2 linked regions of the Lonchura striata genome follow. The protein of the gene in region 1 interacts with the protein of each later gene in a biochemical or structural test. Links are inferred from orthologs where the notes say so. Each region holds a gene or a part of one and is shown on either strand. Other genes may lie near its edges. The genes, in order: DCN and TGFB1.

What was found.
Region 2: the proteins of DCN (region 1) and TGFB1 form a complex in vitro, tested with the Homo sapiens proteins (3 studies listed by BioGRID). The link is inferred for Lonchura striata from reciprocal best matches to the Homo sapiens genes DCN and TGFB1.

Annotation. Positions count from the first base shown.
Region 1 is NC_134607.1:52,847,995-52,864,841, forward strand, and holds the start of DCN (decorin), read right to left. Parts: upstream 8,437-16,847; 5' UTR 8,245-8,436; intron 4,144-8,244; 5' UTR 4,116-4,143; coding exon 3,908-4,115; intron 1-3,907. UniProt on the Homo sapiens protein: May affect the rate of fibrils formation.
Region 2 is NC_134633.1:4,794,693-4,810,977, reverse strand, and holds the start of TGFB1 (transforming growth factor beta-1 proprotein), read left to right. Parts: upstream 1-7,510; coding exon 7,511-7,952; intron 7,953-9,759; coding exon 9,760-9,986; intron 9,987-11,120; coding exon 11,121-11,238; intron 11,239-12,676; coding exon 12,677-12,760; intron 12,761-13,758; coding exon 13,759-13,909; intron 13,910-14,967; coding exon 14,968-15,121; intron 15,122-16,285. Other genes in the region: B9D2 (B9 domain-containing protein 2), read left to right, coding at 1,680-1,767, 3,861-3,986, 4,521-4,828. UniProt on the Homo sapiens protein: Transforming growth factor beta-1 proprotein: Precursor of the Latency-associated peptide (LAP) and Transforming growth factor beta-1 (TGF-beta-1) chains, which constitute the regulatory and active subunit of TGF-beta-1, respectively.

The sequences.
Region 1 (16,847 bases):
TTATTGTTGAACATTTAGTTTTAAAGATTATGTTTAAAAACAAGGTATATTGCAAAGGAGATAACTTCCTTTATAGTGAAAAATTAGGTTCTCACATGGAGTCAAACTCAGAAAAATGGGTGTTCAGATATTTCTGGAAGATTTTATACAGTGAGAAAAATTATCTTTTCCCAACAAATAAATTGCCACATCATGATGGTTCAATTGTTGGAGAGCCATCAGTTGATATGTTGAGACACTTTATTTGTTCAGATAAACTGTCTCATGTTACCAGATAATAATTACTGGTAATACTTTACATATATGTGAACCTTTCATCTTCTGATCTCAAAATGCTTTTCAAACACACCCTCCAGCATCCAGGCTGAGCTCTAATGTATTCTACTTTATATAAACTGGGAAAACCCTGCATATCTGAGCTGTGGGCAAGATTTGAATTTTAGCTGTAATGCCGCTTGAACTTTGCTGTCATGTCTCTCGCACACCTTTAGGAAACCACAAAGCCTCCATGGATACTCTCAGTGACACAGATGGAGAGACCCCCACTATGTCCTGTAACTCTCCAAGGAGAGCAAGCTCATTGCATTCTGTATAGAGACACTGCTCATTTAGAAGGGGCTGCCAGACTTATCTGAAAGTGAAAGAAAGCTCTGCCCACTACCTCTGAGTGTGCTTGTGAAGCATTCTGCATCTACTGCAGGGATGAGTAATCACACATGCATCCTCCTGCCTACCGGGTGCTCTGGGGTGAACTTTACTTGAGACTCCCTTTGGGAGGATGAGACTTTAAATGGAACTATTAATCCTTGCTAGGGTTTCTGAGAGGCGTTTTCCTGCCCAGCTGACTGTACATCTTCTCTGTACATATTACTTTAGAACAGGAAAAGTGGCCTCTGAGCAGCTACATCAGTTACTCCCCACTTGTACTGTGCTCTAACAAAGATGTCTGTGATTCCTATGGAAAGCCTGGATATAGGATTGAGCCTATACTTGATAAGATACTTGAGCTGTTGGCAAAGGTAATACTTCTCATGAAATGTAGGCACATGGAGTTCTGCTTTTGATCCACCAGTAACCAAAATTAGAATTATTTTTCAGGATGTGAGAAGGCAGCATTATCCTTCTTGTCAACTCAGCTCTTGGCTGGGAGGCAAAATAAATTAATTTGTAGGTGTGTGTTTAGGAAGATGTGACTGAAGTTCAAGACTATAGGAATGCAAAAATTCAGCTGACATGAGTGTAATTGGACCACTGGGCATTTTTTTCACTGTTTTTTTGGAACTTGGATTTTATTTTTTTATCATTCCCATCCAGTGCTCATGAGAAAAGGGGCAAATCTGATCTCTGGACTCTGGATTCAATAGTTCTCCTGTGGTTTATTCACATAACCCTCTGTCAGATGGTGGTTTTTTCCTTATGAAGTAAGAATCTACAAATACCAAATGCCCATTTAGGCACAAAAGAAACAGGCTGAGGAAGAGGAGACGTCTCCATATGTTGCCTGTGTTAGGGTTCTCCAGCTACAGCTCTGGCATGACCCCTGCATCCATGGGCTCATGGCTGTAAACATTCCTTCCATGCAAGAGAGTGAGGAGGGAAAAGGATCCTGATTCAAGTTTCAACTTTCCTTTGTGAGAATTTATTTAGGAAGGTCTTAATATGCCCTTTGAGGAACATTGTTATTGCCTGAAATTTTTCATCAACTAGTACCCATGGGACTAGATGACAAAATTTGATAATTTTGGAGGACGGATGTAGCTAATTTGGTTGGGTTGGAAAAGCACAGAGCTGAAGGGAGAGAGAGGCCAGGAGCACAGGTTAATAGGGAGGTAGAACTTTGCTAGTTTCAAGCCTTCCATGTGCAAATTGAGCTCCTGATCCCTGAAACACACCACAGTTCGCAGCAAAAGGCTAGCAACTGTCTTTTCTCAAGTCAGCAGGTAAATTTGATTTTGCCTGGGTCTGTCATACAGAAGTGAATTCAGAAGAGTAAAGGTCAGGTTTACCTGTGAGCAGGTGACACAGAGCTCTCCTGTCCCTGCTTGCAGGGCAGTCAGCAGACTCGTGTCTTCATGAGCCACCCAGCTGGGCTGTGTCCCACCAGGGGCTGTCACATGTGACAAAGATGGGTGAAACTCAATGCCAAGGCTGGCACTGCTTGATAAATACTTCCTTGAGTTCTACCAGGGAAGTATTGTTTATTTATTTTTCAGGGCTATATATTTTGAGCTGGCTTGGATGCTATCAGCCCAGTGGATCCAAAAGTACAATCTTTTCATTGTATGATATGCAGCATGTGGGTTTAAAGAAAGCTCAAAATAGATCTCTTTCTTTTCACCCCATGTGAAATTATTTGGGAAACACTGACCTGGGGACTTAATTGCTGTATATCTGAGTCTCTTTGTCAGTATGGGAGTATCTATGCAATGGACTGTAAACAATGTGTCTGTGAAGAAGTGCATGACCAGAGGAGCAAGTACAGGAGCAAAGGGTCCCTGTGTGAATGTCTCTACTTTTTCACCAAGTGAAAACTCATTACATTCTGCAGAATTGAAGCAGACTGAGAACAAGATCTCTAAATAACTTAAATTCCATCAGCATTACTAAGTGTAACAATAATAAAACCTAAGACTTTCATGGCATGTGGGGCAATCTCCTCCCCACTCCCCATTCCATGTTTGCTCTCTCTGGCACCTATATGGTAAAAAACCCCCATCTTTCAGGAGGTTTAGTACTGTGGAAGCTTTCTGAAAGTATAGCTAGGTTAGCCCACTCTGTTTTGTGCAGCATTGTTTACTGAGTCTTTGCCAAACATATCTGTTGCATAATTACATGGCTCACTTTAATAAATTCACAGAAATTTCTAGGAGTATAGCTAAAGTTTTTCCTCCTTTCTGTAATTATACAACCCCTAAAACAATGAGAAACAGGTCCTAATTGGTGGATTTGTGCCATGATTTATAGTGACTATCAAAGCCAATGTTATAACAGGAAAATAGAAATACCTAGTTATACATTTAAAGAGCTAGGAGGACTAAAAGAAAAAAGAAGCCCTATAAGATCATGAGCAGTTATTTGTCTGTTTTCTTGTGAGCAAAACCAACTCTAATTGATTTTCTGCACTATATACTAAATAAATGTACACTGAATTATACTGGTTTAAACTAAGAGCAGTCTCACAGAAGTGATCTTCATTACTTGAGATTTCTGCATTGAGAAGTCAAATATAGTGATGGCAGACATGGCTTCATATCCTGCTACTCTGTGCACACAAGCCCTTCCCTTACATAAGGGAGTAAGGAAAGTTTGTGAGGAATGTTCTCATGGTTTCAGCTTATATAGTGTCTTAGAAAGATATTTAATAAGGAATTCCATGCTGTGTTCATTATTTTGGTGTGTTTCCAAGCCCTTTACTCCTAAGAGCTGGTTCCAATATATATGATTCAGTTGGTGATTTCATGCTCATGCATTCCTATGAAAATGAGATGACATCTATGTTGAGGCACTAGACAGTATGATTAAAGGTGTTGGACCTTGGACCACACAATTTAGAACATTTCAAAATATTTACACATCCACATCTAACTTTACTGCATTTATTTATATTAATCTGAAGGAATACTTTGAAAAGTTATTTTCTCTGCAGGAGAAATCCATGGCTTTTCAAAGAACAAGTGAAATGTTAAATGTTAAAAAAATCAACCCTTCTTCATGGTCACAACAATGCCCATCTTGCCCAGGCTTTATGGCCTACTTTGTATAGTAAATTCTGGTTAACTGCAGCAGTAGCGTATTTATTTGAAACAAGGCAGTGAGGGAGTGACAGTCCATGGCAGCCTATCCGTCCCAGCTGCTAGCCTGTGACTAGAAGGCGACTACAGAGCCTCTGGAGAAGCTCTTGGCTTACCTAGGTCAGAGCACTGCACCACACGGAGATGGCACTGGCAGCGGAAGGGGCACACGGGTCCAAAGCCGGAGATGACGGGATCATCCGTCGGAGCCATGTCAGCTGAGCCCTCATCCTCCAGCATAAAGTCAAAGAGGCCCTGCTGGTGGAAGGGCTTGGCCAAGCATGCTGGCAGCAGGAGCACAAAGAGTAGAGCCAGCCTCTTCATGGCTTAGTTCATTGACTCCCAGTAGAACCTAGGATTCAAAGCAGTGGATTAATAACAAAAGTAGCAGTTTCCCATAGTAGCACAGTTCCTCCTGAAGGAGGTCCAGCACATCCACCAATTGCATAACTGTTCCTTTCAATAAAAGAAAACTGAATTGTAAAAATAGGACAGTTATGTGATAGGAGTCTGGTAGTAACTCCTTGTCAATAGGCCTTTTTTTTTTTTTGCAGAGCAGTTTAAAGGCAACAGTAAACACATCTGTTTGCATATTTAGAGTAATATTTTTTAGAAACAGGCAGCGCTGTCAACTTTGTTATGCAAAAGAGTCAAAGCAATAAGCCACATTTTCCATGTGCCTATTTTCTGCCAACATAACAGTCTATTTGATTTCATTAGCATTTATTTCATAGCAATGGGTTTGACTCTGGGGACAAACCTGAGGTTCCCAAACTCACTGTAATTCAGTATTTCGTGTCTTGAGAAATATTTTTTAAGTATCGGCTTGCTGTGTGTTTTAAATTATAACCTAGTAAAACTGACTCAGAAAGAGTAGGATTTAGTGACAGGGTGGAAAGTGAGGGGAAGATCTTTAGTTGTTTAAATGCACTATACTTCTTTCCAGTTCAGACAACACAATAAAATGGAATACAGTGTTGTGATATATTGAATAGTCTTGGCTTTCTTTCTAAATTTTGACATCCACCCTAAGAATCTTGCTTTGCACTGCATAAGCATTTGAAGTGATGCTTGCAATGTTGTGTGCACACTTTCTAATAGGACTTCAGGGCTTCATTCTGCAGACTTTCATGGTCAGGAGCAACTTTATACAAGTAAGTGTTGCCATAGATATTAACAAGAAAAGCTGCTTAAATACATGTTCTCAGGACTTTGGCTTAGATGCATTTCAACACACTCTAGGTTGTCCTACCTGTCTTGTTGTGCATTAAGGAGAAATTGCACAACTGTTTGCAGGTTTTGTATCAAGGCTATAAAGACCAGATAATTTTCTGAATATTATTTTCCTTTACTCTGTATTTTATATAATGAAGTCCATACTTTACTAACTTTAATTTATTTTTAAAAACCCACCAAAACCAACAAAAAAAAGAAAAACAAAAACAAAATAAACAAAAAAGCAACAAAAAAAACCCCAAAAATCCAAAAAACAAAACAAAAAAAATCCCCCCATAAAATAAACAAAACAATAAACCACCCAAAACCACCAAAATTAAATCTGCCTTCAAATTGGCAAGAGACACAAAGGCAAACTTGTCATTTATATAGAAGCTTTTTCTTAAAATGGATGGCATAATCCTAAATACAGATGCTGCTCTTTGTAATGAAAGCAAAAGTGTCCACTTGCTTCTTCAGGACGATATCTTAGCAACACCTTGCCTGGGTGCTAGCTGGGATTATTTCATTTTCTAGAAGTTATCAAACAGCTAGGGGTGTGGTAGAGCATTTTTCAGCTCCATATTCACTATTGGATAAAAAAACTGGGAGAGGCAGAAGTGGAGGACTGCCTCCCTGTCTACTTTGACATATGGAACCTACCAGGTAGATGACAAGAATGAACAGATGATATTAGGTGCAAATAGTTTACTGAAGCCTGCCTTTCTAATATACTACAACCAGGTATTCTAAAAGGAATAGTTAGTGCTAAGAAAAAAACTAAATATATATAAAAAAACATGAGATTGGATTTAGATACAATTTACATGGTGCCTAGGTTCATTTTCCTTTATGAATTCCTACCTACAGGAGCCAATAATACAGTTCTCCAGAAACCTTTAGGTCTTGTTTCTTGTGAAGATGATTAGGTTGCCTAATAAAATATGCTGGTGTCTTTAAATCACAGTCTATGTTCCTGTGATCTACCTGTCAGGAAGACATGTAGCTAACATCTTCAGACATCCCAAAGACTTCAAAGTGAAACCACATGGAGTAAAACACTGTTTATGTTGTCTCTTTCAGGGACATATTTGTTTTCTTGGACATGAAAGCACTTCTGTTCCTGGAACAGACACCTTACTTACTGCATGTACTGAGGAGGGTCACAGACCCCAACATCAGCTAGAGAGTTTGTAGGATGTTCTGTCAGCCAGTGTTGTGTAAACTCATGACATGTAGCAGGGACAGACTGTGTTCCCATGTGGATCATCCTCCTGCCCTGGCTACCCGCTTACACTGGGGCTGTGTCCCTTTCCCTCCAACACCCCTGCCAGTGCAGGCACAGTGCACAGGGACATGTCAGAATGTCACAGCAAAGTGCTGTTAGTGCATGGCAGTGAGCTGTTAACAGGGTTTCATCTAAAACATGATTTTTGAAAGAGTAATCATCATGTGCAAGTTACTGTAAAATAACAATGCAATTTATTAATAATCTCAGATGAGAAGAAAAATTTGCTAAACCATCACCATTCATCACAATATGCTGCCTTGTGAAAGTGACCAATAAACATTACCCCAGTACAAATTAATTTTCAGAATATATATTAACAACAATAAACATTGGGAATGCTGCACACAAATTCTTGAATGGCAGTGGCAGTCAGGACCTTTAAAGACCTTCCTGTCTTTTTTTTATGTATTAATACTTTTTTAAAACATTTTAAAATACTTAAAACTTATTCAATCCCTTTCAGGGTCACTGCTGAAGTACCACCCATCCCAAGAATGCACAATCAGGATCTTATCCTGGAGTTTAATTATTACCATTCAGAAAAGTCAAAAAAGAAAAAAAAAAAAATGTAAAGGCACTTTGCTTTTTATTCACATTAATATTGATGACTTCATTTATCTCAGTTAAACCCTGTAGCAGGCCTTTCTATTTGTCCCTGTTTTGTAAAAACTTTAATGAAATCAGAAAGAGCTGTCTATAAAGGAAAACTGTAGGACAACAAAGGATATCAAGTATATAATCTGAGGATACAGCAGAGAAAACAGGAGACCCTACATATTAATCACAACATAGGAATGGATATCTTCAGTCACATATGCATTCATACTGCACACACATATATCTGTTCCTATTGCTTGCATGTGTAATTGAACATAAACAAAAAAAAAAAGATATACACAAAACTGTACTACCAAGAAATGTTTACACTTCACTTACCAAAAAAAAGTAGAGAGGACAAAAAAATCTGAATTCTGTGAAACAATATTTATGTCTGCAGGACATAACTGTTTAAAATTCCTTTAATTATGTGTTTACAATGAAGAAGAGTTTTCCACAAGCAGAGGAAACTATACCATAAGCTTGGCCACATTTCGTTTTAAAATACCGCTGAAAATATGCTTCATCAGTTCACGTCACCACTGTATTGGTGGTCTTCTTGTCAGTTTACCTTAATATTAAGGTTAAATTATTAGTTCACCTACTGTCAGAAATCTCTCAAAATTCCACAATGCCAAGCTAAACAATATTTTCCAGTTTCAAAAAATTCCCCTCCATTTTATGTTTTGCCCATTTTGTGCAATAAAGTCCATATATGCAAACACAGGAGTTGGACGTTTTAGAGAATAAAACTTTGTTAACAGGAGTTTCAACTGCATGAATTTTCTTTTCTACTATTTCATTCATAAGAGCCTTCTTTAATCATGATTCCAGCCTCTAACATAGCACTTTCTAACATTACAAAGGCATGCACAGAGCCCGTTTAACTCACTACTACACTTTTTTCCTCTGAAATTGAAATTATATTCATCACTGTCTGAAATATATATGAAGAAACACATGAGAAAGAAATCACAGAGTGCAGTTTAAAGCAGAAATGTAAGCATACACGCATTTTTTACTCTCTGTATCACCAATTCTAAACACCGGATTGCAGAGAATATACTGCTGTAAAAGTTTACAGCAAAGAAAAAGAAAGGACTATAGTAGTGCTTATACAAATCAAAACAAGAGACAGAATAGTCAAATAAACAGCAGGAAATTTGCACAGTCTGAGAATGTATTCTCATGTTTCCAAGAAACAAAAGTGCTGCATAGAAAACTTAACATTACTAAACATTTAGAAGGATTTTTGACTTGCTTCTCTTAAAATTCAAATAGTTCTTGCCATAGACTTGCCCGAAGTTTTATTAGCACAGCATAGTTCAGAAGAATTACTAAAAACCGTACCTTTTAATCCAGGGATTTGCAACAGGAGCTCTCAAAGCAGAGATGTAATTAAACTAAGTATTCAACCCAGGCAGAAGGCTTTGCAGGTGTGGAAAGGAGGAGGGGGTAAATTCAGCTCAGTGACTGTCACTTGGTGGAAAACCCTCCTGCTTCTATTCCATAGCACAGTTAAAAAATGTTTCTCTCAATGAACACAATCCAGGCTGACACCCACATTAGATCATATGGTAATGATATGTCTCCTGTATTGCAGCCAGAAACTTTATCAGCTCTTTTGCTTTCTTTTCCTCCTTTTCCCTTTTCATTTTCTTTATTTCTCTTTCATCTGTTTACAATCCCAAACTACTTGTACATTATAAGACAAATTCTTAGCTGTAATTCATCCTACTTACTTTATTTATGTTCCTACAACATATATTTAGGAAAGTTTTCTTGGTTTTAGCTATGGGGGGGTTTACGACTCATTAATGAAAAAAATGTTTAGCTCTCCCTCTTGTTTATATTATTTGGAAATCAACAAAATTATATAAAATTAATCTTTGAGTTAGGCAAACTAGAGATTAATATCAGGAGAAAAGTGTTAGCTTTTAATAAAACTATTTAAACAGATATCAACCTGCTTTTACTTATGCTATAATCTCTGTCAAACTAAGTAGTATATAGTTTAATATATTATTATCTGGTCTAATAATAAAGTTTGTATGTATTTTTTCAAATGACAGCATGGTTTTGATATATACGAAAATCATGTTTTCATTAGTAAAATGATTCTAACATTTGTGGTTAGAGCTGCTTTATATAAACTTTGCTTTTTTTTTTTTTTTTTTTTTTTCCTTCACTGCCTTCTCACCAGGACAGCAAAACAGAGGGAAAATTAGCTTTAACTGTTTGGGTTTTGTGATGGTGTTTTTTTGTGTGTTTTAATTTTTTTAGTGGGTGGTTTTTTTTTTTTTTTGGCTAGTTAGGGGTTTTTTTTATGAGACAGAAAAGATTTTTTTAAAACATGGGAAGGAAAATTCATCTGACTTATTATTTAGATTTATGTTTTATTTTAGCAATTTCTGGTTTTATGCAACTGATACTGGAAGCCAAAATGCAATTTCTTTATTCCTACATAATTTTAAAAGTAAAGTGATCTGAAATGAGAGAAAATACAATAATTGCTATTTATTTACTAATCCAAACACATTGTTGTTAGCTGTCCTATCTAAATACTGAAGGCTTGTGTTTCTGTGTTTTGACTTGCATCCTTTTTATTTCTGCCCCAAGGCAAAGACCAGGTGCAAATCTGAAATTAAAGCCTGTAAAATGATGCTTAAAAGAAGTCAGAATTTTTTAGAAACATAATAGACTCTTGAAATTTTAGCTGTCCTCCTCATTTAAATTCAAGAAGAGCCCTTATGATAGATCTTAAAATTGTTCTCCTTTGGTGGAAGAAAGCATGGTAGAATAATTGTCTGTTAGTTTTGGTCTCTGTAGAACAAAGGTGTAATCAGACATCTTACAGATTCCTTATATAGCTCACTCTAAAAGTTAAGGATCAATTATTCACCCCTAGTCCTTAAGCTAACTTCTTTTCCCTGCATCTCTACTGGATTCAATGGTTTTTGTTATGACATTTTCCTATATATGATTAGTGGTGTTCCAAGCTTTCATGGTTACAACAAAGCCTTATCTTTGTTCATAAGTGTCGCCATGAGGCTTGCTGAAATCTTGGTGCATCTTAGTAATGTCAGTTATTTGAACCTTGGTCACCAGCTGCATCTGGTGTTTAAAAACATTTCAAAGCAAGATTTTGATGAGGAACAGGTCAGGGTAAACTTGTTGTCAGTTTGCTTCACAAAACCCATTCATATGCTTTTGCAGCACAGCCTTAATACATTTGTTCTGATATCTGTCATGGGGTTGAAAGGCGTTGTAATTTAATGCCTCAGTAATTTCTTTGGAGGCAGAGGGGGGATGAGCAGCCATCTCTCCTTCTCCTTGTCATAGACGTTAGGGAGGTTCAAAAATGAAGATATTGATGGGAACAGGTGGAGCACAGGGTGTCTGCTGGGGGTTCTGTTTTCTTGCATGAAATCCATTCCAAGAAGCTCAGAGGGGAAAAGATTTTACGAGCTTTAGGAATGATGAAAACATTTCTGTTACCTGTTAATACCCAGAAGTAGAAGAGCTGTGTGTTATGTGTACAGCCCTTCCTGAAATAGAAAGTGGAGTTAGGTGGAACAGAGCAACTGAATGGGAGAGGACTTACGACATTGAATATTGATGTAATACCTTATTAATAATATTAGTTGTTTTGAATCGAGGAATTACAGAATCATTTAAATTGGAGAAGACCTCCAAGGTCTTTGAGACTAAACTTTGACTGATCACCACCTTGCCAATTAGACCATGGCCCTAAGTGACAAATCCAGTGTTTTCTTGAACACTTCAGGGATAGTGACTCCATCACCTTGCTGGGCAGCCCATTCCCATGCTTAACCACCCTTTCCATGAATAAATTCTTCCTGATGTCCAATCTAAACATCCTCTGATGCAGCTTGATGTTGTTTCCTCTTATCCCATTGCAGGTTGCCTGTGAGAAGAGACCAGCCCCCACCTGGCTGGATTCTCCCATCAGGCTGTTGCAGAGAGTGATAAGGTCAACCCTGAGCCTCCTTTTCTCCAGGTTAAGAAATCCCAGCTCCCTCAGCTGCTCCTCTTAGGATTTACTCTCTAGAACCCTCACCAGCTTCATTGCCCTTCTCTGAACACACAATATTTTCATGTTTTCATGGGAATGCTTTCTGGTGCAAGTATTCCTTTAATCTCACTCTTTGCCCCCTGCTGTGTCACTCAGAAGATAAACAACCATAAAAAAAAAAGGCAAAAAAAACCCTAAGGAACAATATTAAGTGATTATATAACTTTATGTCCCTTGTGACACTACACAGGGCCTAGCGTCAATCAGCTATCCTTCCCAGTCTGACCTACTTTGACTACGGCTTAGTCAATATAAAAAATAATCATTAGAACAGTCTTGGTTTCTTTGTGATTTTATTACTCCAGTTTAAGAAACTTTTAGGACTACATGCTGCTCCAAATGCTGATTCCCAGAAAGATACAGGCAACTGCATGTTAATGTTATTTATATAACAATATTTTTATTAAATTTTGATAGATAGCATCTGCTTCATTTGCTCTTGGTGTATTTTGTGGACCTTCCAAAGGGCAGTGGTGGGAAAGAAGGCAGGAAGCCCACTTGCTGGTGAGTGCTTTACCTGAGACCAGTGGAAGTCTCTGCAGGAAAGATATGAACACTGCCCTGTATGGAGAAAGCATTTCCTGGGGAAATTGCTCCTGGAGCACGGGGTTGAGCTGGAGGAGAGGCATGTCCAGCGGGCACCCAGTGCTTCCAGAACAGATTGAAAACTCCTCAGAGGAACTGAGATAATTTGTCCCTGGGTGTGGAAAGAAAGGCTTATTTGAGGGAGTCTGGGAAAAAATGGGTAACATTTATTGCAATCCAGAAGCTCCTGGAATGAAACGAAAGCAGGGCAAGATCTGTTCTGCAGGAACATGGCGTCCCATGTCCCAGAGATACTAATTCCAAGTTTTCATCGGAGAAGAAGGCATTTTCTTGGACTGTCATCTAATAAATCCCAGCTTTGATGATCAAAGACTGGTTAGCATTGTTGTGGTTGTTGTGGTAAAGAGGCAAGTCTGCCTCAAAGTCCTCAATAAAACAGAGTTAAGTGCCAGTCTCCATCAGGTAAGTGCTGATCCCCATCAGGAATGGAAAAAACAAATCTCTCACTTGGCTGCCTCATGGAAACCCTCTCCACCTCCTTGGTATCTCACACTTGGACTTTTATGCACAGCTTCCTAGCATTTCATCTTCCACATGATGGTGCTACTACAGACTGTCTCTTCTTTCTGCACTAGGCATAATAATGTCTTCCAAATAAGTGTAGAAAACTGTTCTTCACAGTTAGCAGTGAAGTTCCTTTACTAAGAATGTGAGTAAATATGCACCCCAGCTTAGTAAACATTGATCCAGGTAAATATTGACCTAGGCACAGCCTAACAAGGTAGTTAAAGAGAAGAAATGTAATTTCTGGATATTCTGAGTATGAAAGTTTCCTTCAGCACTCTGTGACCTCAGAAATTATCAGCCTGAACTCTTTCACATTTCTACAGATCAAAAGGGCTAATGTATCTGACTTTGGATGTGTGCTACCAGTAACATATTATTTATGCTTCTGTGAAAAGCAATACTTGTACAACTGTTTGAACAAAATGCAGTCAAACTTCGAAAGACAAAGCTCTCTTTTTGGAGGACTAGGTCTCTTCTGTCACTGTCTATCATCCCATCTCTCCCTTTCCCACTCTGCAAGAGCATGTACTGTTACCTCTCATGGTCATCTTTCCTGTCTTCTGAAGGAAGTCTCTGGGATCTGTAGGTCACTCTAGGAAACTAATTCAAATTTTCCTCAGCTGAAGGATCTGACATGTGATCATATCCTTCACTTTGGTCTCTTTTCTTTGGAAAGGCCTATCTGTTCCTAAACTTGACTGGCTTTCATTTCCACTGGCTTTTCTATTCTCTCCTGAATAAAATAATGTTGTCCAGGTCTTTCTAGCAGCTGTCAAAGTTAACCACATATTGATATAGCCTTACTGCTCACTATGATTTCAAACACTCTGAACTTAACTTCTGCCCTTGAGGAGGAAACATTTCCTGCCTAATCCTCATGTTTTTGTAGTGTAGATGTACATTTTCAGATTGATCTTACCTCTCTCCCTCAAAAATGCAGGAAATAGGTAAAATTAGACTTTGTCTGAGTCCTACCAACTCCTAGCCATGCTACAAGCAAAGAATGAGGGATAAGTAAGTGATTGTGGACCAAAGATCCCAGAACTTCACTTTGACTTTACTTCTTCACCTTTAATTAAAGAAATTGAAAATGCAGGCAAAAAAGTCTGCTCTCACACACCTTGATAGACAGAATATCAGTACTCAGGTGCTCCATTTGCTGTGCTTCAGCTACAGCATTTAATTTTGTTCCTGCATCAGCAGCCTTCTGTCCTCCAGAAAATTTCTTAGATGAAAGAAAGAGTGTGCTAACATCAGCAAAGGTTCCAGGAATCTACAAGTCCCTGAGAAAGACACTTTCCCAGAAAAAGAGTATAATTTTGGGAGTGTGGGCTGTGAAAGAAGAAGTGATGACTGAAGAGGAGAGGATTAGTTTAGGTAAAACGAGATTAATTTTTTTTTTCCAGTGAGAACTCTTTCATCAGATTTTGGCATTTTGTATTTTTTGCAGTATCTTGAGTTGCAGTCCAACTGTTTCCAAGGTTCAGATGAAAAATCCAGACCTTAATTCTCATTTTGACAGCCCTTAGATCATGCTCTGGATAAGCTTCGTCATCCCAGCTGAATTACACAATGCCCTAGAAAAGGATGACAGTAATTCATGCAAATGTTGTAACTGTATTCCTTGCATGTACCCTTTTAGTCATGGGTTATGAACCAGCATTTGAAATGAGGCACATCCTGTGCAGCTCTGAACAGCCTATTCCCAGATTATGAAAAACATGTGAATACAAGGGTCAGCCTGGATTTCCAATGTAGTCATCACAGCAAGTAAACTTGTTCAGGGAGAGCTAGTGACTGTTTTACTGAGGAAAGTCCATAAAAAGGAACAGAATAGAAAAAAACCCAGCATTTATATAAGCCTTTGTGTCTTTTTCTCTGTATTAAAATGTTCATTTTTGGCAATCTGGTGAGGAAAAAATTCTAACTTCAGCTAAACATACAAAATTGTGACTTTGAAAATATAAGCAATGTCATCACAAAACTTACCAGTTTTGTATGGACTGTGTTTTCAAAGAAGGGTGAAATGGAAGTTTACAAAAGAATGCAGTAGTTTACAATTTGATTTTCAAAATATAAATACTTAAAAATAAAAGTCTTGGGTATTTTGGGAAGAGTCTTTAAAATACCCATTGTATTACCTTAAGCAATTGAAGAGTCTTGCCTTAAGCACATATGAGCTTTTATTTGACTACTAAAAATATATATTTTTTTTTCCCTTTTATTCTTGTAAATAAGCTCTTCAAAGGATTGTGCTGACTAAGAAATTGCGCTGATGTTCCTCAACAGAAATTTTCCATAGCCAACCTGGATAAAACATAGTGAGGTTTACTAAATGAAACAGAGTTTAATTCTATATGGAGAAACTTTAAATATGATGACAATTTTTTCAGTTATTGAATTACAGAAGAATGTTAACTGGCAATCAGAAAAAAAAAATTAAGGCTATAATTTTTCTAGACCTTTTTCTACATTACTCATTGTTTTATTTCCTTCTTTACCATTTGTTTCTAAGTTATCTTCAGGAATATTGTGTTCCATAAAGACTGGCTACATTTTAATTTAGAGGATAGCACACATCTGTTGTGTTCCAGCTGAATAAAAGTTAAACTACTCTTATGAATATTGCTTTGCATTTATGTCTCTCTTTTGGCTTTTTGATTGGTTTGTTGTTAGATCTGCATATGTAATAGATGAATTTATGAGCATGCTGGGACAAAGCTCCAGAAAACACAAATCATATCATCTTACTGAAATTGCAACGTCTATTTCTTGACTTATCTTCATCTATCAAAATGTATAAACCCTTAGGGGTCTAAATAAAGATTTGTAAAAGTGGCTAACAGTTTTTTAAAATACGCCTGATAGATTATGATTTTCAAAGAGACTTTCAAAGTGCAGTTTCTGAAAATCAGGTATTGCATAATGCACTGGAGGATGGGCACAGAAAAGAGCTAGACATCCACTCTATCTAACAGCTTTTGAAAAGATCAGTGTATTGTACCAGTTAGAAACTATATACTAAATTTAAGGATCAATATAGTGTGCTTTAATTGTAAAAAATAAATAGGATGTTTCAAAATGAATGTGTCAGTTTTTTATTGCAAGATAGCATGCTTGCCTCTGAAGAAGCCACGTGTATGCAAAGAAAAGTCTATTCAGAGACAGTTCTCTGCTTATAAAACAAAACCCACTCCAAACTGGATCTTGAGACTTGGATGGTTAGAACAGTTATTTCTCAAATGTTGTTCACTGTGCTCCTGTACACTGTATCTCCTTCAAAAATTTTGAAAACAGTCTCACAAGAGGAATAGCCTGTCTTTCAGTCACAATTAGAAATTTCATCTCTCTGAGGAGTTCAGGCTGTATCTGACCCTCTTTCAGCCTGCAATACCATTCATTCTGGTGTCAATTTAAAATGAGACAGAGTTGACAAAAGAAACAATGGAATTAAGTCTGAGAAAATAAACAATTATACAAATTATTGGAAGTGAGAAAAGCAGCTGTTAAAAATACATCCAGGAAAATGCTAGTAACTTGTAAACTCCATAGAACCTTTTAGGCCTTACAAAATCCTTATTTTTGTGTCTTTGTTTTGTTTGGTTGGCTTTTTTTCCCCACAAGTCCCACTATACTATGTCTATAGGTTAGGTCATATTTTAGGCCTGAAGGATACCTGATATTTAGTTTGAAATGCCTAACTAATAATCACCATCTATTTGTCAAGGGCATATGCAGGATGTAACCATATATAGTTTAGAACAAGTCAATTTGCAATCCTCTTCCTTCCTATGTCCCCAAGACATTGCCTTCCCCCATTTTCAACAGAATAAACGTGTATTCTGGACAGCAGTAGGCTGGCAGGGACAAGCTAGCGTTACTTAGGTTTAGGATTACTTTCATACATCTTAATTTTTTTGTGGCTTTGAAGGGCTGAACCTGAAGCGACTGGGATCTCTTCTCCACTTGGTTGTAACTGTTCCCAGGAAACACAGGAGACAGCATTGCCAGCCTGAGAGGCTCAAAGACTGATTTGTGTGCTGAGCCCAGGTATCCACCTACAATGACAACAAAACATTGCTCCATGTGTAGATCTCAGTTTCACCCCTTGTTTCTGAATATATTCTGACTCCCATCCACAAATGCTGCTGGTCAGCCATTGTATATCAATTTAGTACAGAGTTATGGAGCTGGCACCATCTACTGAAATTCTCCCTTTTTTCCTGCAAGTCTCCCCACGGCCTCTCCATTTTTGTGTTTGTAGAAACAATTTGGTGCTATTTTCCAAATCAAGCAGTGTCTTTGTATGGTTTCTTTTGCAAATAGTGAACTCGTAATTTATTACAGCATGTTTCAGATTAAAGGAGAACAATATTAGTGATGCCAAAAAAGTATGAAATGTAATTGTCAAATACACTGGAGACAGCAAAATGGGGTTTTTTTAGTTCTTAAAAGTATTTGAATCCTGAAAGAAGGTCCGACCTGTTTTAGATGACAATTTTTTATGGCTTTTCTTAAAAGGTATATTTCAGTATATTTTATTTCTAAAAACCAAAGCCATAATATGACCTTCTCTTTGTAGTAAAACATCACTGGCTGTAGATTATGAAAATTCACATTGTTGTATTTCAGGTCAGAACCTTTTCAAAATAACACTAGATATCTTTCATCAATGAAAAAGAGAGTCAAATTATAGATTTATGATGAAAGTTTGTACAATATTTACCAGTCTGAGAATTCCTGG
Region 2 (16,285 bases), on another chromosome or scaffold:
GGGGGGGGTCGGGAGGGGGGGTGGGGGAGGGGAGGGGGTTGGGGGTCTCTCCCCCCCCCCAACCCCTCCCCAAATTTTGGGGGGCCCCCCCCCGTGGTGTCGTGGTCGGTTCTGTGCTGTGGTGTCCGTGCAGTAAATTTGGGGTGACCCCCCCGTGACCTCTGACCCCGTCTGGGGGGGGGGAGGGAATTTGGGGAGGGGGAGGGGCGGGAATTTGAAGGGGAATAAAATTTTGGGGGGCAGGGGCAGAATTGGGGGAGGGGCAGAATTTGGGGGGAGGGGCAGGAATTTGGGAAAGGAGGAATTTGGGGAGGGGAGGGAATTTGGGGAGAGGAGCGAGAATTTGGGGAGGGGGAGGGGTGGGAATTTGGGGCAGGAATTTGGGGAGGGGGAGGGGCGGGATTTGAGGGGAAGGAAAAATTTGGGGGGGAGGGGCAGAATTTGGGGGAAGGAGGAATTTGGGGAGGGGGAGGGGCGGGAATTTGGGGGAGGGGGTTGAAATCTAGGAGAGGGAATCCCAAAATTTGGAGGGAAAAGTAAAATTGAGGGGAGGGACATGAAATTTGGGGTTTTTCCTCAGTTTCGGTGTTTTTTCCCCAATTTTGGTGTTTTCCCCCCAATTTCTGGGTTTTTCTCAGTTTTGGGGATTTCCTCCCCAATTTCTGGGTTTTTTCCCCCTAATTTTGGGGGATTTATCCCCAATTTTAGATTTTTCCCCCCAGTATTGGGTTTCTTCCCCCAATTTTGAGTTTTCTCCCAATTTTGATTTTTTCCCCCCAATTTTGGAGGCTTTTCCCCCCATTTTTGTTTCCCCCCCCAATTTTTTGGTTTCTTTCCCCAATTTCTGGGGTTTTCCCCAAAGTTTTGGGGTTTTCCCCCAATTTTGGTTTTCCCTCCCCCCAAGTTTGTAGTTCTTACCCCAATTCCTGGGTTTCCCCCCAATTTTGGGGTTTTTCCCCCAGTTTTGGGGTTTTTGCCCCAATTTTGGGGTTTTCTCCCAAATTTCTGTTTTTTTCCCCAATTCTAGTTTCTCCCCTCCAGTTTTGCAGTTTCCCCCTCCAGTTTCTGGGTTTTTCCCCCAGTTTTGGGTTTTTCCTCCCAATTTTTGGATTTCCCCCGAATTTTTGGATTTTCCCCCAATTTTGGTTTTTTCCCCCACTTTGGGGCACCCCAAGATGGCGGCGGTACACACAAGATGGCGGCGCCGCCCTCAAGATGGCGTCCCCCTACTCTGTAACGCCCAAGATGGCGGCGGCCGTACGGCAAACTCTGCCTCACACGCATGCGCAGTGATAACGCCGCTCTTTGTGGGCGTGGCCTGACCCGCATTGACCAATCAGCGCCGGCCCGGCGTTACCGTGGCAACGCAATGCGGCAGCGCCGCCCGCGCATGCGCAGTGGCGGCGCGGGCAGGGGGCGGGTGAGCGCCGCGCGGGCGGAATTTTGGGGGGAATTGTGGAAATTTTGGGGAATTTTGGGGGGAATTGTGGCGATTTTGGGGATTTTTGGGGGGAATTTGGGGCGGGGGACGGAGGGGATGGGTGGAGATGAGGGAGGGACGGGCGGGGATGGCGGGAGGGGAGAACGGGGCGGTTTTGGGGGGGATTTTTTGGGATTTTTTGGGATTTTTTTGGGGGGATTTTTGGGGTGAATCCGGCGGGTTTCGGGTCCCGCAGCCCATGGCGGAGCTGCACCTCTTCGGGCAGATCGAGAGCGGCTGCGGCTTCTCCGAGCGGCGCCTCTTCTGCAAGTGGGGGCTGCACGCCGGTGAGCGCGGCGGGGTGGGGGTCTGGGGGGATTTTGGGGATTTTTGGGGAATTTTGGGGAATTTGGGGGAATTTGGGGGATTTTGGGAGGGATTTGGGGGAGTTGGGAGGAATTTCGGGGAGTTTTGGGGGAGTTTTAGGGGGATTTGGGGATTTTTTTGGAGGATTTTGGGGGGATTTCGAAGGGATTTGGGGAGATTTTGGGAGGAATTTGGGGGATTTTGGGAGGAATTTCGGGAGGTAAGGGGTGGGTTTTGGGAATTTGGAGGGGAGATTTGGGGATTTTTGGAGGATTTTGGGGGGTTTTGGGGATTTTGAAGGAGATTTTGGGGGGATTTTAGGGGGATTTGGGGGGTTTGGGGGATTTTGAAGGAGATTTTGGGGGAATTTCGGGAGGTTTTGGGGGGATTTTAGGGGGAGATTTGGGGATTTTTGGAGGATTTGGGGCGGATTTGGGGGTTTTGGGTGGAATTTGGGGGATTTTGGGGGAGTTGGGAGGAATTTCGGGGGGTTTTGGGGGCACTTTGGGGATTTTAGGGGGATTTGGGGGAGGGTTTGGGGGAGATTTTGGGGGTCTTGGGGAGATTTGGGGGGATTTTGGGAGGAATTTGGGGATTTTGGGAGGGATTTTGGGGGATTTTGGGAGGTAGTGGGTGGATTTTGGGGATTTGGGTGGGAAATTCGGGTTTGTTTGGAGGATTTTGGGGGGATTTGGGGGAGGGTTTTGAGGAGATTTGGGGTTTTTGAAGGAGATTTGGGGATTTTGGGAGGAATTTGGGGGATTTCTGGTGGGATTTGGGAGATTTTGGGGGGATTTGGGAGATTTTGGGGGATTTTGGGGGGTCTGGGGGATTTTAGGGAATTTGGGAGGAATTTTGGGGGGATTTTAGGGGTTTTGGGGGAGAGATTTGGGGATCTTTTAGAGGATTTTTGGGATTTTGGAGATTTTGGGGGATTTGGGGGGATTTTGAGGGGAACTGGGGGAATTTGGAAGATTTTGGAGGGATTTTGGTGGGATTTGGGGAGATTTGGGGACATTTGAGGAGTTCTGGGCAGATTTTGGGGGGATATTGGGGAGATTTGGGGGTTCCGGGGTGATTTTGGGGGGACCTGGGGCTTTGGGGCCATTTGGGAGAATTTTTGGTGGTTTTCGATGATTTTTGGGTTATTTTAGGTGATTTGGGGATCATTTTGGGGTGATTTTGGTTAATTTTTAGGGTGATTTGAGGTTATTTAAGAGGATTTTGGTGTCCCAGGTGATTTTGGGGTGATTTGGGATGATTTTGGGGGATTTCGGGGGTTTTGGGGTATCCTAGGTGATTTTGGGGGGATTTTGTCGTGATTTTTGGGGTGATTTTGGGGTGATTTAGTCTGATTTTGGGACATTTCAGGCTGATTTTGGGATATTTCAGGGTGATTTTGGGACATTTCGGGCTGATTTTGGGACATTTTGGGCTGATTTTGGGAAATTTTGGGCTGATTTTGGGGTGATTTTCTCTGATTTTGGGGTGATTTTGGCTGATTTTGGGCCGTTTCGGGTACTGGCGCCACCTGGACCCTCCTGGCTGATTTTGGGGTGATTTGGGGCCATTTTGGGTTGCTTTTGGGATATTTTGGGGTCATTTTCCCTAATTTTGGGCCACTCCGTGCTGCAGGCTCCGCCTGGACGCTGCTGGCTGATTTTGGGGTGATTTTGGGACATTTTGGGGTGATTTTCCCTGATTTTGGGCCGCTCCATGCTGCAGGCGCCGCCTGGACGCTGCTGGCTGATTTTGGGGTGATTTTGGGGTGATTTTGGGACATTTTGGGCTGATTTTGGGCCGTTCTGGGCGCAGGCTCCGCCTGGACGCTGCTGGCTGATTTTGGGGTGATTTTGGGCTGATTTTGGGACATTTTGGGCTGATTTTGGGCCGTTCTGGGCGCAGGCTCCGCCTGGACGCTGCTGGCTGATTTTGGGGTGATTTTGGGGTGATTTTGGGACATTTTGGGCTGATTTTGGGCCGTTCTGGGCGCAGGCTCCGCCTGGACGCTGCTGGCTGATTTTGGGGTGATTTTGGGACATTTTGGGCTGATTTTGGGCCGTTCTGGGCGCAGGCTCCGCCTGGACGCTGCTGGCCGGGGCGGGCGCGGGGCAGACCCAGCTCGACGACCCCCAGGGGGGCGACGCCGCCCAGTGGAGCCACCCCCTGGACCTGCACCTGGGGACACGCGGCCTGCAGGGTGCGGGGACACCCGTGGGGACATCGGGGACACTGGGGGGACATTGGGGACACTGGGGACAGTGGGGACATTGGGGACACTGGGGACATTGGGGGGATTGGGGGCACTGGGGGGATTGGGGACATTGGGGACACTGGGGACATTGGGGACATTGGGGGGATTGGGGACATTGGGGACATTGGGGACATTGGGGACATCGGGGACACTGTCAGGGCCATGGGTGTTCAGGGAGGACACTGGTGGTGTCAGGGTCCCCAGGTGTGTCCCCAGTGTCCCCAGTGTCCCCCCAGTGTCCCTGATGTCCCCAATCCCCCCAATGTCCCCATGTCCCCCCAATGTCCCCATGTCCCCAATGTCCCCAGTGTCCCCAATCTCCCCAATGTCCCCAATCCCCCCAGTGTCCCCAATGTCCCCAATCCCCCCAATATCCCCAGTGTCCCCAGTCCCCCCAATGTCCCCAATCCCCCCAGTGTCCCCCCAGTGTCCCCACTGATGTCCCCACTGATGTCCCCAGTGATGTCCCCCTGTCCCCAGGCTGGCCCAAGCTGCTGCTGGAGGTGTGGCACGTGGACGCGTGGGGCCGGCGGGGCCTGGCGGGCTACGGCGTGTGCGCGGTGCCCAGCGCGCCCGGCTGCCACCGCGTCACCTGCGTCACCTGGCGCCCGCGGGGCACGCGGCGCCAGCGCCTGCTGGGCCCCGGCGCCCCCGAGCTGCGCGACCCCGCCGGGGCGGCCGCCGGCGCCGCCGAGCGCTTCCGCCTGCGCACCGAGGCCGCCGGCACCGTGCGGCTGCGCCTCGGCGTCCTGCCGCGGCACATGGCACGGTTTGGGGTGGCACTGTGACACTGGGGACACTGGGGACACCATTGGGGACACTGGGGACACCATTGGGGTGATGGGGACACCATTGGGGACAGTATGACACCATTGGGGTAATGGGGGCACCGAGGCCGCCGGCACCGTGCGGCTGCGCCTCGGCGTCCTGCCGCAGCACATGGCATGGTTCGGGGTGGCACTGGGACATTGGGGACATCGGGGTGGCACTGTGACACTGGGACACCATTGGGGACATTGGGGACACCTTTGGGGGGGTGATGGGGACACTGGGGACACCATTGGGGACATTGGGTTAGTGGAGAAACCATCAGGGACATTGGCACCGTGTGGCTGCGCCTCGGCGTCCTGCCGCGGCACATGGCCAGGTTCGGGGTGGCACTGTGACACTGGGACACCATTGGGGACATTGGGGACACCTTTGGGGTGATGGGGACACTTTGGACACCATTGGGGACATTGGGGACACTGGGGTAATGGGGGCACCATCGGGGACACCGGCACCGTGTGGCTGCGCCTCGGCGTCCTGCCACGGCACATGGCGCGGTTCGGGGTGGCACTGTGACACTGGGGACACTGGGGACATCATTGGGGTGATGGGGACATTGGGGACATCACTGGGGTGATGGGGACATTGGGGACATCACTGGGGTGATGGGGACACTACTGGGGACAGTATGACACCATTGGGGACATTGGGTTAATGGGGACACCATTGGGGACACCGGCACCGTGCGGCTGCGCCTCGGCGTGATGCCGCGGCACATGGCGCGCTTCGGGGTGGCACTGTGACACTGGGGACACTGGGGTGGCACTGGGGACACTGGGGACATCATTGGGGGTAGCACTGCGGACACCGGGGTGGCACAGTGACATTGGGGACACCATTTGGCACACTGGGGTGGCATGGTGGCACTGGGGACGCTGGGGTGGCATGGTGACATCAGGGACATCATTGGGGACACCAAGGTGGCACTGGGGACACCACTGGGGACACTGGGGTAACATGGTGGCACTGGGGACATTGTTGGGGACACCACTGGGGACACCGGGGTGGCACTGGGGACAGGGTGACCTGGGATGACATCCTGGGGACACCCTGGGGACACCGGGGTCACCTTGGGGTGGCACCTGGGGGGGGCCAGGACAGGAGGTGACACCTGGGGAGGGTCCCCAAACTTTGAGGGGAGGGGACAACCCTGGTGGCATCCCGGAGGAACCTCCCCAAAATTGTCACCTCCCCTTTGTCCCCAGATAAAAGTTTTGTCACCAAATGCGGCTCAGGGGGGGGTTTGGGGGGGAGGGGACAATTTGGGACAATTTTGGGGGGGGGAGGGGACAATTTTGGGGGAGGGGACAATTTGGGGAGGGGAGGTGGCAATTTTGGGAGGGAGGTGACAATTTTGGGAGGGAGGGGACAATTTTTGGGGAGAGGTGACAATTTTGGGGGGGAGGTGACAATTTTGGGGAGGGAGGTGACAATTTGGGGGGGAGGGGACAATTTGGGGAGGGGAGATGACAATTTGGGGAGGGAGGTGGCAATTTTGGGAGGGAGGTGGCAATTTTGGGAGGGAGGTGACAATTTTGGGGGGGTCCTGGAGCCCCTCCCCCATCGCGGGTGTCCCCCCGCCCCTCCCCCCTCCGGAAATGTCCCAGACGCGGAAGCGTCGCCCCCTCCCCCCCCCGGGCCGTGACTCAGTTTCCCTTCCCCTCCCCTCCCCCCTTCCCTCCCCCCCCCCGGCCCCGTTTCCTGGGTGGGGCCCGCGGCGAAACGGGGCCAAAAGTGGCAAAATCGGGCAAAAAGCGGCCAAACAAGGGACAAAAAGGATAAACCGGGACAAACCGGGACCACCCGGGACAAAGCGGGACCACCGAGGACGACCGGGAAGGATCGGGACCACCCGGGACAAAGCGGGACCGGTAGGGACAACCGGGACCAGCCGCGACAAACGGGACAACCCGGGACAACCCGGGACAACCCGGGGCACAACCGGGACCACCGGGACAGTCGGGAGCGGAACCGAGCCCGGGAGGGGAAATCCGGGCGGGTTCCGTGCGGGGTGTCCCGGGTTAAGACCCGGTTCCGGACTGCTCTCCCGGTTTTGGGGAGTTTGTCCCGGTTTTGGGGAGTTTCTCCCGGTTCTGAGGAGTTTATCCCGGTTTTGGGGGGTTTATCCCGGTTCTGAGGAGTTTATCCCGGTTTTGGGGAGTTTCTCCCGGTTCTGAGGAGTTTATCCCGGTTCTAGGGGAGTTTATCCCGGTTCTGGGGGGGTTACCCCGGTTCTGAGGGGGCGTGTCCCGGTTTAGGGGATTTATTCCGTTCCCGGGGGTTTATCCCGGTCCCGGTGTCTTTAACTGCTCCCGGGAATTTCTCCCGGTCTCTCCCTGTCCCGGTTTAATCCATCCTGGTCCTTTATCCCGGTCCCTCCCGAGGCTTTATCCCGGTCCCTCCCGAGGCTTTATCCCGGTCCTTCCAGAGGCTTTATCCCGGTCCTTCCAGAGGCTTTATCCCGGTCCCTACCGATCCCTCCCGAGGCTTTATCCTGGTGCGTCCCGGTTTCCCGTGTCCGGTCCCTCCCGAGGCTTTATCCCGGAGCCTCCCGGTCCCTCCAGAGGCTTTATCCCGGTTCCTCCCGAGGGTTTATCCCGGTCCCTCCCGAGGCTTTATCCCGGTGTCCGGTCTGTCCCGGGATGCGGCTGTCGGTGCGGGTCCCGGTGCCGCTGTCCCTCCCGGTCCCGGTGCGGGTCCCGGTGCGGGTCCCGGTCCCGGTGCGGGTCCCGGTGCGGGTCCCGGTGCCTGTCCCGGTGCCTGTCCCGGTGCTGCTGGCCGCGCTGCTGGCCGCGCTGGCCGTGCCGTGCCGCGCTCTCTCGTCCTGCCGCACGCTGGACCTGGAGGCGGCGCGGCTCAAGCGCATCGAGGCCGTGCGGGGCCAGATCCTGAGCAAGCTCCGGTTACCGGCGCCGCCCGCGGAGCCCGGCCCGGGCCCGGCCGCGCTGCCCGAGGACGTGCGGGCGCTCTACAACAGCACCCGGGAGCTGCTGCGGCAGCGCGCCCGGCGGCGCCCGCCCGAGCAGCCGCAGGACTACTACGCCAAGGAGCTGCTGCGCTTCCCCATGGAGAGCCCCGGGGACGGTGAGGGACACCTGGGGACAGCTGGGGACACCTGGGGACACCTGGGGACAGCTGGGGACAGCTGGGGACAACTGGGGACACCTGGGACATCTGGGGACACCTGGGGACACCTGGGGACACCTGGGACACCTGGGGACAGCTGGGGACACCTGGGGACAGCTGGGGACAACTGGGGACAGCTGGGGACACCTGGGGACAGCTGGGGACAACTGGGGACACCTGGAACACCTGGGGACACCTGGGGACAACTGGGGACAACTGGGGACACGGGAGGACACAGGGACATGGGGACATGGAGGGACACAGGGGGACACCTGGGGACACCTGGGGACACCTGGGGACACGGGGACATGGAGCAGCCTGAGGAGCCACAGGACTGCCCCGCCAAGGAGCTGCTGCGCTTCCCCATGGAGAGCCCCGGGGACGGTGAGGGACACCTGGGGACATTTGGGACACCTGGGGACACCTGGGACACCTGGGGACAACTGGGGACAACTGGGGACAACTGGGGACACCTGGGGACACCTGGGGACACGGGGGGACACCTGGGGACACCTGGGGACAACTGGGGACAGCTGGGGACAGCTGGGGACAACTGGGGACACCTGGGGACAGCTGGGGACACCTGGGACACCTGGGACAACTGGGGACAACTGGGGACACCTGGGGACACGGGGGGACACCTGGGGACAGCTGGGGACAGCTGGGGACAACTGGGGACACCTGGGGACAGCTGGGACACCTGGGGACAACTGGGGACACCTGGGGACACCTGGGGACAGCTGGGACACCTGGGGACAGCTGGGGACAACTGGGGACACCTGGGGACAACTGGGGACACCTGGGGACACCTGGGACAACTGGGACACCTGGGGACACCTGGGACACCTGGGACACCTGGGGACACCTGGGGACACCTGGGGACATTTGGGGACACCGGGGACACCTGGGACACCTGGGACACCTGGGGACACCTGGGGACACCTGGGGACATTTGGGGACACCTGGGGACACCTGGGACACCTGGGACACCTGGGGACACCTGGGGACAACTGGGACACCTGGGGACAGCTGGGGACACGGGGGTGGCACCGGGACACGGGGGGACACGGGGACATGGAGCAGCCTGACCAGCCGCAGGACTGCCCCGCCAAGGAGCTGCTGCGCTTCCCCATGGAGAGCCCCGGGGAGGGTGAGGGACACGGGGACACCTGGGGTGACATGGGGACATTGAGGGACAGCTGGACACGGTGACCCCTGGGTGACCCCACGGTGACTCCTCGGTGACCTCCTGGTGACCCCTGGGTGACCCTGAGGTGGCCTCCAGTGGCCTGGTGTCCCCTCTGTGACCCCTCTGTGTCCCCAGTCCCCCAATGTCCCCAAATGTCCCCAGTGCTCCCCATGGCCCTGGATGTCCCCAGTGTCCCCGATGTCCCCAACCCCCCCAATGTCCCCCCAGTGTCCTCAATCCCCCCAATGTCCCCACTGTCCCCGCGCTGTCCCCGCTGTCCCCACTGTCCCAATCCTGTCCCCAATGCTGTCCCCGCTGTCCCAGCGCTGTCCCCGCTGTCCCAGTGCTGTCCCCAGTATTGTCCCCATGCTGTCCCCGCTGTCCCAATCCTGTCCCCACGCTGTCCCCGCTGTCCCAATCCTGTCCCCGCTGTCCCAATGCTGTCCCCGCTGTCCCCCCACTGTCCCCAATGCTGTCCCCAGTATTGTCCCCACGCTGTCCCCGCTGTCCCAATCCTGTCCCCGCTGTCCCCAATCCTGTCCCCACTGTCCCCACGCTGTCCCCGCTGTCCCGCAGGTGAGGCGCAGCGCTGGCTCCCCACCCCCCGCAGTCTGTTCTTCGTGTTCAACACGTCCCGCCTGCGGGCCGGGCTGGGCCGGGCCGAGCTGAGCCGGGCCGAGCTGCGCATGCTGCGCCAGGGGACAGCGGGGACAGCAGCGGGGACAGCGGGGACAGCGGGGACAGCCACAGGGACAGCAGCGGGGACGGCCCTGGGCACGGAGCAGAGAGTCGAGCTCTACCAGGTGGGCACTGGGACACTGGGGACAGTGGGGGATTGGGGACAATGGGGACATTGGGGACATTGGGGACATGGAGACATTGGGGACATTGGGGGGATTGGGGACATTGGGGACATGGGGACATTGGGGACATGGGGACATTGGGGACATGGGGACAGTGGGGGATTGGGGACATTGGGGGGATTGGGGACATGGGGACACTGGGGGATTGGGGACATGGGGACATGGGGACATGGGGACAGTGGGGGATTGGGGACATTGGGGACATTGGGGGGTTGGGGACATTGGGGGGATTGGGGACATGGGGACATTGGGGGATTGGGGACATTGGGGACATTGGGGACATTGGGGACACTGGGGACATTGGGGACATTGGGGACATCGGGGACACTGGGGGGATTGGGGGATTTGGGGACATTGGGGGGATTGGGGGATTTGGGGACATTGGGGACATTGGGGGGATTGGGGGATTTGGGGACATTGGGGACGGCTCCAGAGCCACCCCCAGCGAGGGTGGGGGGACCCAGCCCTGGCCTGGCCCCAAATTTGGTGACAAACTGGTGTGACGTCACCTGGGCCCCCCGATGTCCCCAATCCCCACAATGTCCCCATGTCCCCAGTGATGTCCCCGATGATGTCCCCGTGTCCCTGATGATGTCCCTGATGATGTCCCCACTGTCCCTGATGATGTCCCCGTGTCCCCAATGATGTCCCCGATGATGTCCCCGATGATGTCCCCACTGTCCCCAGTGATGTCCCCATGTCCCTGATGATGTCCCCAATGATGTCCCCGTGTCCCCGATGATGTCCCCGTGACCCTGATGATGTCCCCGTGTCCCTGATGATGTCCCTGATGATGTCCCCGTGACCCTGATGATGTCCCCGTGTCCCCGATGATGTCCCCAATGTCTCCGATGATGTCCCCGATGATGTCCCCGTGTCCCCAATGATGTCCCCATGTTCCCCGATGATGTCCCCGTGTCCCCGATGATGTCCCCGTGTCCCCGATGATGTCCCCGATGATGTCCCCATGTCCCTGATGATGTCCCCAATGATGTCCCCAATGTCCCTGATGATGTCCCTGATCTTGTCCCCGATGATGTCCCCAACGTTGTCCCCCGTGTCCCCGTCTCGCAGGGTTTCGGGAACTCCTCCTGGCGCTTCCTGCAGGGCCGCTCCGTCAGCGTCACCGCCGAGGACGAGTGGCTCTGGTTCGACGTCACCGACAGCGTCCGGCAGTGGCTGCGCGGCTCCGGTGGGCCCGAGCTCCCAAAATTCCCACAAAATTCCCGGAAATCCCGCAAAGTTCCCGGAAATCCCGCAAAATTCCCGGAAATCCTGCAAAATTCCCGGAAATCCTGCAAAATTCCCAGAAAATCCCCCAAAATTACCGGAAATCCCGCAAAGTTCCTAGAAATCCCGCAAAATTCACGGAAATCCCACAAAATTCCCAAAAAATCCCACAAAATTCACGGAAATCCCGCAAAGATCCCAGAAATCCCGCAAAATTCATGGAAATCCTGCAATGTTCCCAGAAATCACACAAAATTCCTGAAAATCCTGCAAAATTCACGGAAATCCCACAAAATTCCCAGAAATCCTGGAAAATTCCCCAAAAATCCCGCAAAATTCCCAAAAATCCCGCAAAATTAATGAAAATCCTGCAATGTTCCCAGAAATCCTGGAAAATTAAGAAAAATCCCACAAAATTCCCGGAAATCCCGCTAAATTCCCAGAAATGCCGCGAAATTCTCGAAAAATCCCAAAAAATTACCGGAAATCCCGCAAAATTCCCCAAAATCCTGCAAAATTCATGAAAATCCTACAAAATTCATGAAAATCCCACAAAGTTCCCAGAAATTCTGCAAAATTCCCAGAAATCCTGGAAAATTCCCCAAAATCCCCCCAATGTTCCTGGAAATCCTGCAAAATTCCCAAAAAACCCGCAAAATTCCCAGAACTTCTGCAGGAATTGGCCAAAATTCCACCCGAATACGGCAAAATCCCCCCAAAAATCCGAGCGTGGCTCCAGGGGGGACGGCGGCGTCGCCACAGCCCCAAAAACCCACAGACCTTCCCAAATCCCCCCAGAATCCCTCAAATTTCCCCAAAATCCCCCAAATTCCCCCAAAATTCCCAAATTCCCCCAAAATCCCCCAAATTCCCCAAATTTCCCCAAAATTCCCAAATTTCCCCTTTAGAGCCGCTGGGGCTGTTCTGGCTCAGCATTCACTGCCCCTGCGAGCCAAAACCCCCAAAATTTCTACAAAATCCCCCCAAATCCCCCCAAAATCTCCCAAATTTCCCCAAAATCCCCCAAATCCCCCAAATTTCCCCTTTAGAGCCGCTGGGGCTGGTCCGGCTCAGCGTTCACTGCCCCTGCGAGCCAAAACCCCCAAAATTTCCCCAAAATGCTCCTAAATTTCCCCAAAATCCCCCCAAATTTCCCCCAAATCCCCCAAATTTCCCCAAAATCCCCCAAAATTCCCTAATTCCCCAAATTTCCCCTGCAGAGGTGCTGGGGCTGTTCCGGCTCAGCGTTCACTGCCCCTGCGAGCCAAAACCCCCAAAATTTCTACAAAATCCCCCCAAATTTCCCCAAAATCCCCCCCAAATCCCCCCAAAATCTCCCAAATTTCCCCAAAATCCCCCAAATCCCCAAATTTCCCCAAAATTCCCAATTTCCCCTTTAGAGCCGCTGGGGCTGTTCCGGCTCAGCGTTCACTGTCCCTGCGAGGCCGCCGGCGACGCCCCCAGCCTCAAAATCTCCATCGAAGGTACCGGCAGCGGATTTTGGGGGGATTTGGGGGATTTTGGGGATTTTTGGGAATTATGGGGGATTTTGAGGTGATTTTTGGGAGTTTTGATGGAGATTTTGGGGAGATTTGGGGGATTTTGGGGGAGATTTTGGGGAATTTGGGGGGGATTTTGGGGGGATTTTGGGGATTTGGGGGACTTTCAGGAGGAGCTTTGAGGGGGATTTTTGAAAGATTTTGGGGGTTTTTGAGGGATTTTGGGGGGATTTTGGGGATTTTTGGGAATTATGGGGGTTTTGGGGGGATTTGGAGGTAAGTTTTGGGAGTTTTGATGGAGATTTTGGGGGGTTTTGGGGAGATTTTGATGGGGATTTTGGGGGGACTTTGGGGGATTTTGGGGGATTTTGGGGGGACTTTGGGGGATTCGGGGGATTTGGGGGATTTTGGTGAATTTTGGGGGGGATTTTGGGGACTTTCAGGGGGAGCTTTGACAGATTTTGGGGAATTTTGGAATTTTGGGGGGATTTTGAGGGATTTGGAGGTGATTTTTGGGAGTTTTGATGGAGATTTTGGGGGCATTTTGGGGGGGTTTTGGGAGGGGTTTTGGGGGGATTTTGGGATTTTTTGGAGGATTTTGTGGGATTTTGGGGTGGATTTTTGGATTTCGGGTGAATTTTGGGGGACTTTGGTGGGATTTGGGGATTTTGGGGGGATTTTCGAGGATTCTGGGAGACTTTGAGGGGATTCGGGTCGATCTGAGGCGTTTTGGGGCGTTTCGGGATTTTTTGGGTGGATTTGGTTTCAGTTTGGGGCATTTTGGGGAATTTTCAGCAGCAGCGCCGGGACAGCGAGAGCTGGGTCCCCAAATGTCCCCAAAATGTCCCCAATGTCCCCAGTGTCCCCAATGTCCCCGATGACCCCGATGTCCCCAATGTCCCCAATGTCCCCAATCCCCCCAGTGTCCCCAATGTCCCCAATCCCCCCAATCACCCAATGTCCCCGTGTCCCCGTGTCCCCAGGCTTCGAGCAGCAGCGGGGGGACATGCAGAGCATCGCGCGCCGCCACCGCCGGGTCCCGCACGTCCTGGCCATGGCGCTGCCGCCCGAGCGCGCCCAGGCCCTGCACGGCCACCGGCAACGGCGCGAGCTGCAGGGCCAGCACTGCGGGGGGTGGGGACACGGGGACACCGGGGGATTGGGGACACTGGGGGGATTGGGGACATTGGGGGGATTGGGGGGATTGGGGACACCAGGGGATTGGGGACATCAGGGACATTGGGGACATTGGGGACATTGGGGACATTGGGGGGATTGGGGACATTGGGGGGATTGGGGACACTGGGGGGATTGGGGACATTGGGGGGATTGGGGACATTGGGGGGATTGGGGGGATTGGGGACATTGGGGACATTGGGGACATTGGGGACATTTGGGGACATTGGGGACATTGGGGACATTGGGGACACCAGGGGATTGGGGACATCAGGGACATTGGGGGGATTGGGGACACTGGGGGGATTGGGGGATTGGGGACATTGGGGACATCGGGGGATTGGGGACATTGGGGACACTGGGGACATTGGGGACACTGGGGGGATTTGGGACAATGGGGGGATTGGGGGGATTGGCGACATTGGGGACATCGGGGGGATTGGGGACATTGGGGGGATTGGGGACGTTGGGGACGTTGGGGACATTGGGGGGATTGGGGATTTGGGGACATCGGGGGGATTGGGGACATTGGGGGGATTGGGGACGTTGGGGACGTTGGGGACATTGGGGGGATTGGGGATTTGGGGACATTGGGGACCCTCGAAATCCCTCATTTATCACCCTGGGACCCCCAAAATCTTCCCCAAAATTCCCCAAATCTTCCCCGAGATCCCCCATGCTTCACTCAGGGGGAGCTGGGGATCCCTGGGGACCCCCCAGATCCCCTCAAATCCCCCCCAAACCCCCATTTATCACCATGGGACCCCCAAAATCCCCTCAAATCCCCCCCAAACCCCCATTTATCACCATGGGACCCCCAAAATCTCCCCAAAATCCCCTCAAATCCCCCCCAAACCCCCATTTATCACCATGGGACCCCCAAAATCTCCCCAAAATCCCCTCAAATCCCCCAAAATCCTCCCCAAAATCCCCCAAAATCCCCTCCAAACCCCCATTGTTCACCCTGAGACCCCCCCAAAAACCCCAAAATCCCCCAAAATCCCCCCGAATTCCAGGCCGGAGGAGCAGAACTGCTGCGTGCGGCCGCTGTGGATCGATTTCCGCCGGGACCTGCAGTGGAAGTGGATCCACGAGCCCCGCGGCTACATGGCCAACTTCTGCGGGGGGCCCTGCTCCTACATCTGGAGCGGCGACAGCCACCACACCAAGGTGGGGTTTGGGGGTCCCGGGGGGTTTGGGGGGTCCCGGGGGGTCCCAGGGGGATTTGGGGGTTCCTACATCTGGAGCACTGACAGCCACCACACCAAGGTGGGATTTGGGGGGTCCCGGGGGGATTTGGGGGGTCCCAGGGGTTGTTTAGGGGGGATTTGGGGGGATTTGGGGGGGTTTGGGGAGTCCCGGGGGGTTTGGGGGTGATTTGAGGGGTCCTGGGTGGACTTTGGGGGGATTTGAGGAGGATTTGGGGGGGTTTGAGGAGGATTTTGGGGGGGTTTGGGGGGATTTGGGGGGGTCCCAGGGGGATTTGGGGGGATTTGAGGGGGATTTGGGGGTGTTTGGGGGAGGATTTTGGGGGTCCTATCCCTGGAGCGCCAACAGCCAGCACACCAAGGTGGGATTTGGGGGTCCCGGGGGGATTTGGGGGGTCCCAGGGGTTGTTTAGGGGGGATTTGGGTGGGTTTGGGGGGATTTGGGGGTCCCGGGGGGATTTGGGGGGTCCCGGGGGGTTTGGGGGTGATTTGAGGGGTCCTGAGGGGACTTGGGGGGGTTTGAGGAGGATTTGGGGGATTTGAGGGGGATTTTGGGGGTCCTACCCCTGGAGCACCGACACCCAGCACACCAAGGTGGGGTTTGGGGGTCCCGCGGGATTTTGGGGGGATTTTGGGGGGATTTTGGGGTTATTCCGGGGGTATTTTGGTGTATTTCGGGTGTATTTTGGGATATGTTTTGTGTGTTTTTTGAGATATATTTCGGCTGTATTTCGGGTGTATTTCAGGTGTATTTTGGGATATATTTTAGGTGTATTTTGGGATATATTTTGGGTGTATTTCCGGTATATTTGGGCTGTATTTCGTCTGTATTTTGGGTGTATTTTGGGATATATTTCGGCTGTATTTTGGCTGTATTTCGGGTATCTTTTGGGTGTATTTTAGGTATATTTCGGGTGTATTTTGGGATATATTTTGTGTGTATTTCGGGTGTATTTCGGGATACATTTCGGCTGTATTTTAGGTATATTTGGGCTGTATTTCAGGTATATTTGGGCTGTATTTTGGGCTATATTTGGGGTGTACTTTAGGTATATTCGGGCTGTATTTTAGGTATATTTGGGCTGTATTTTAGGTATATTTCAGGGGTATTTTGGGATACATTTCG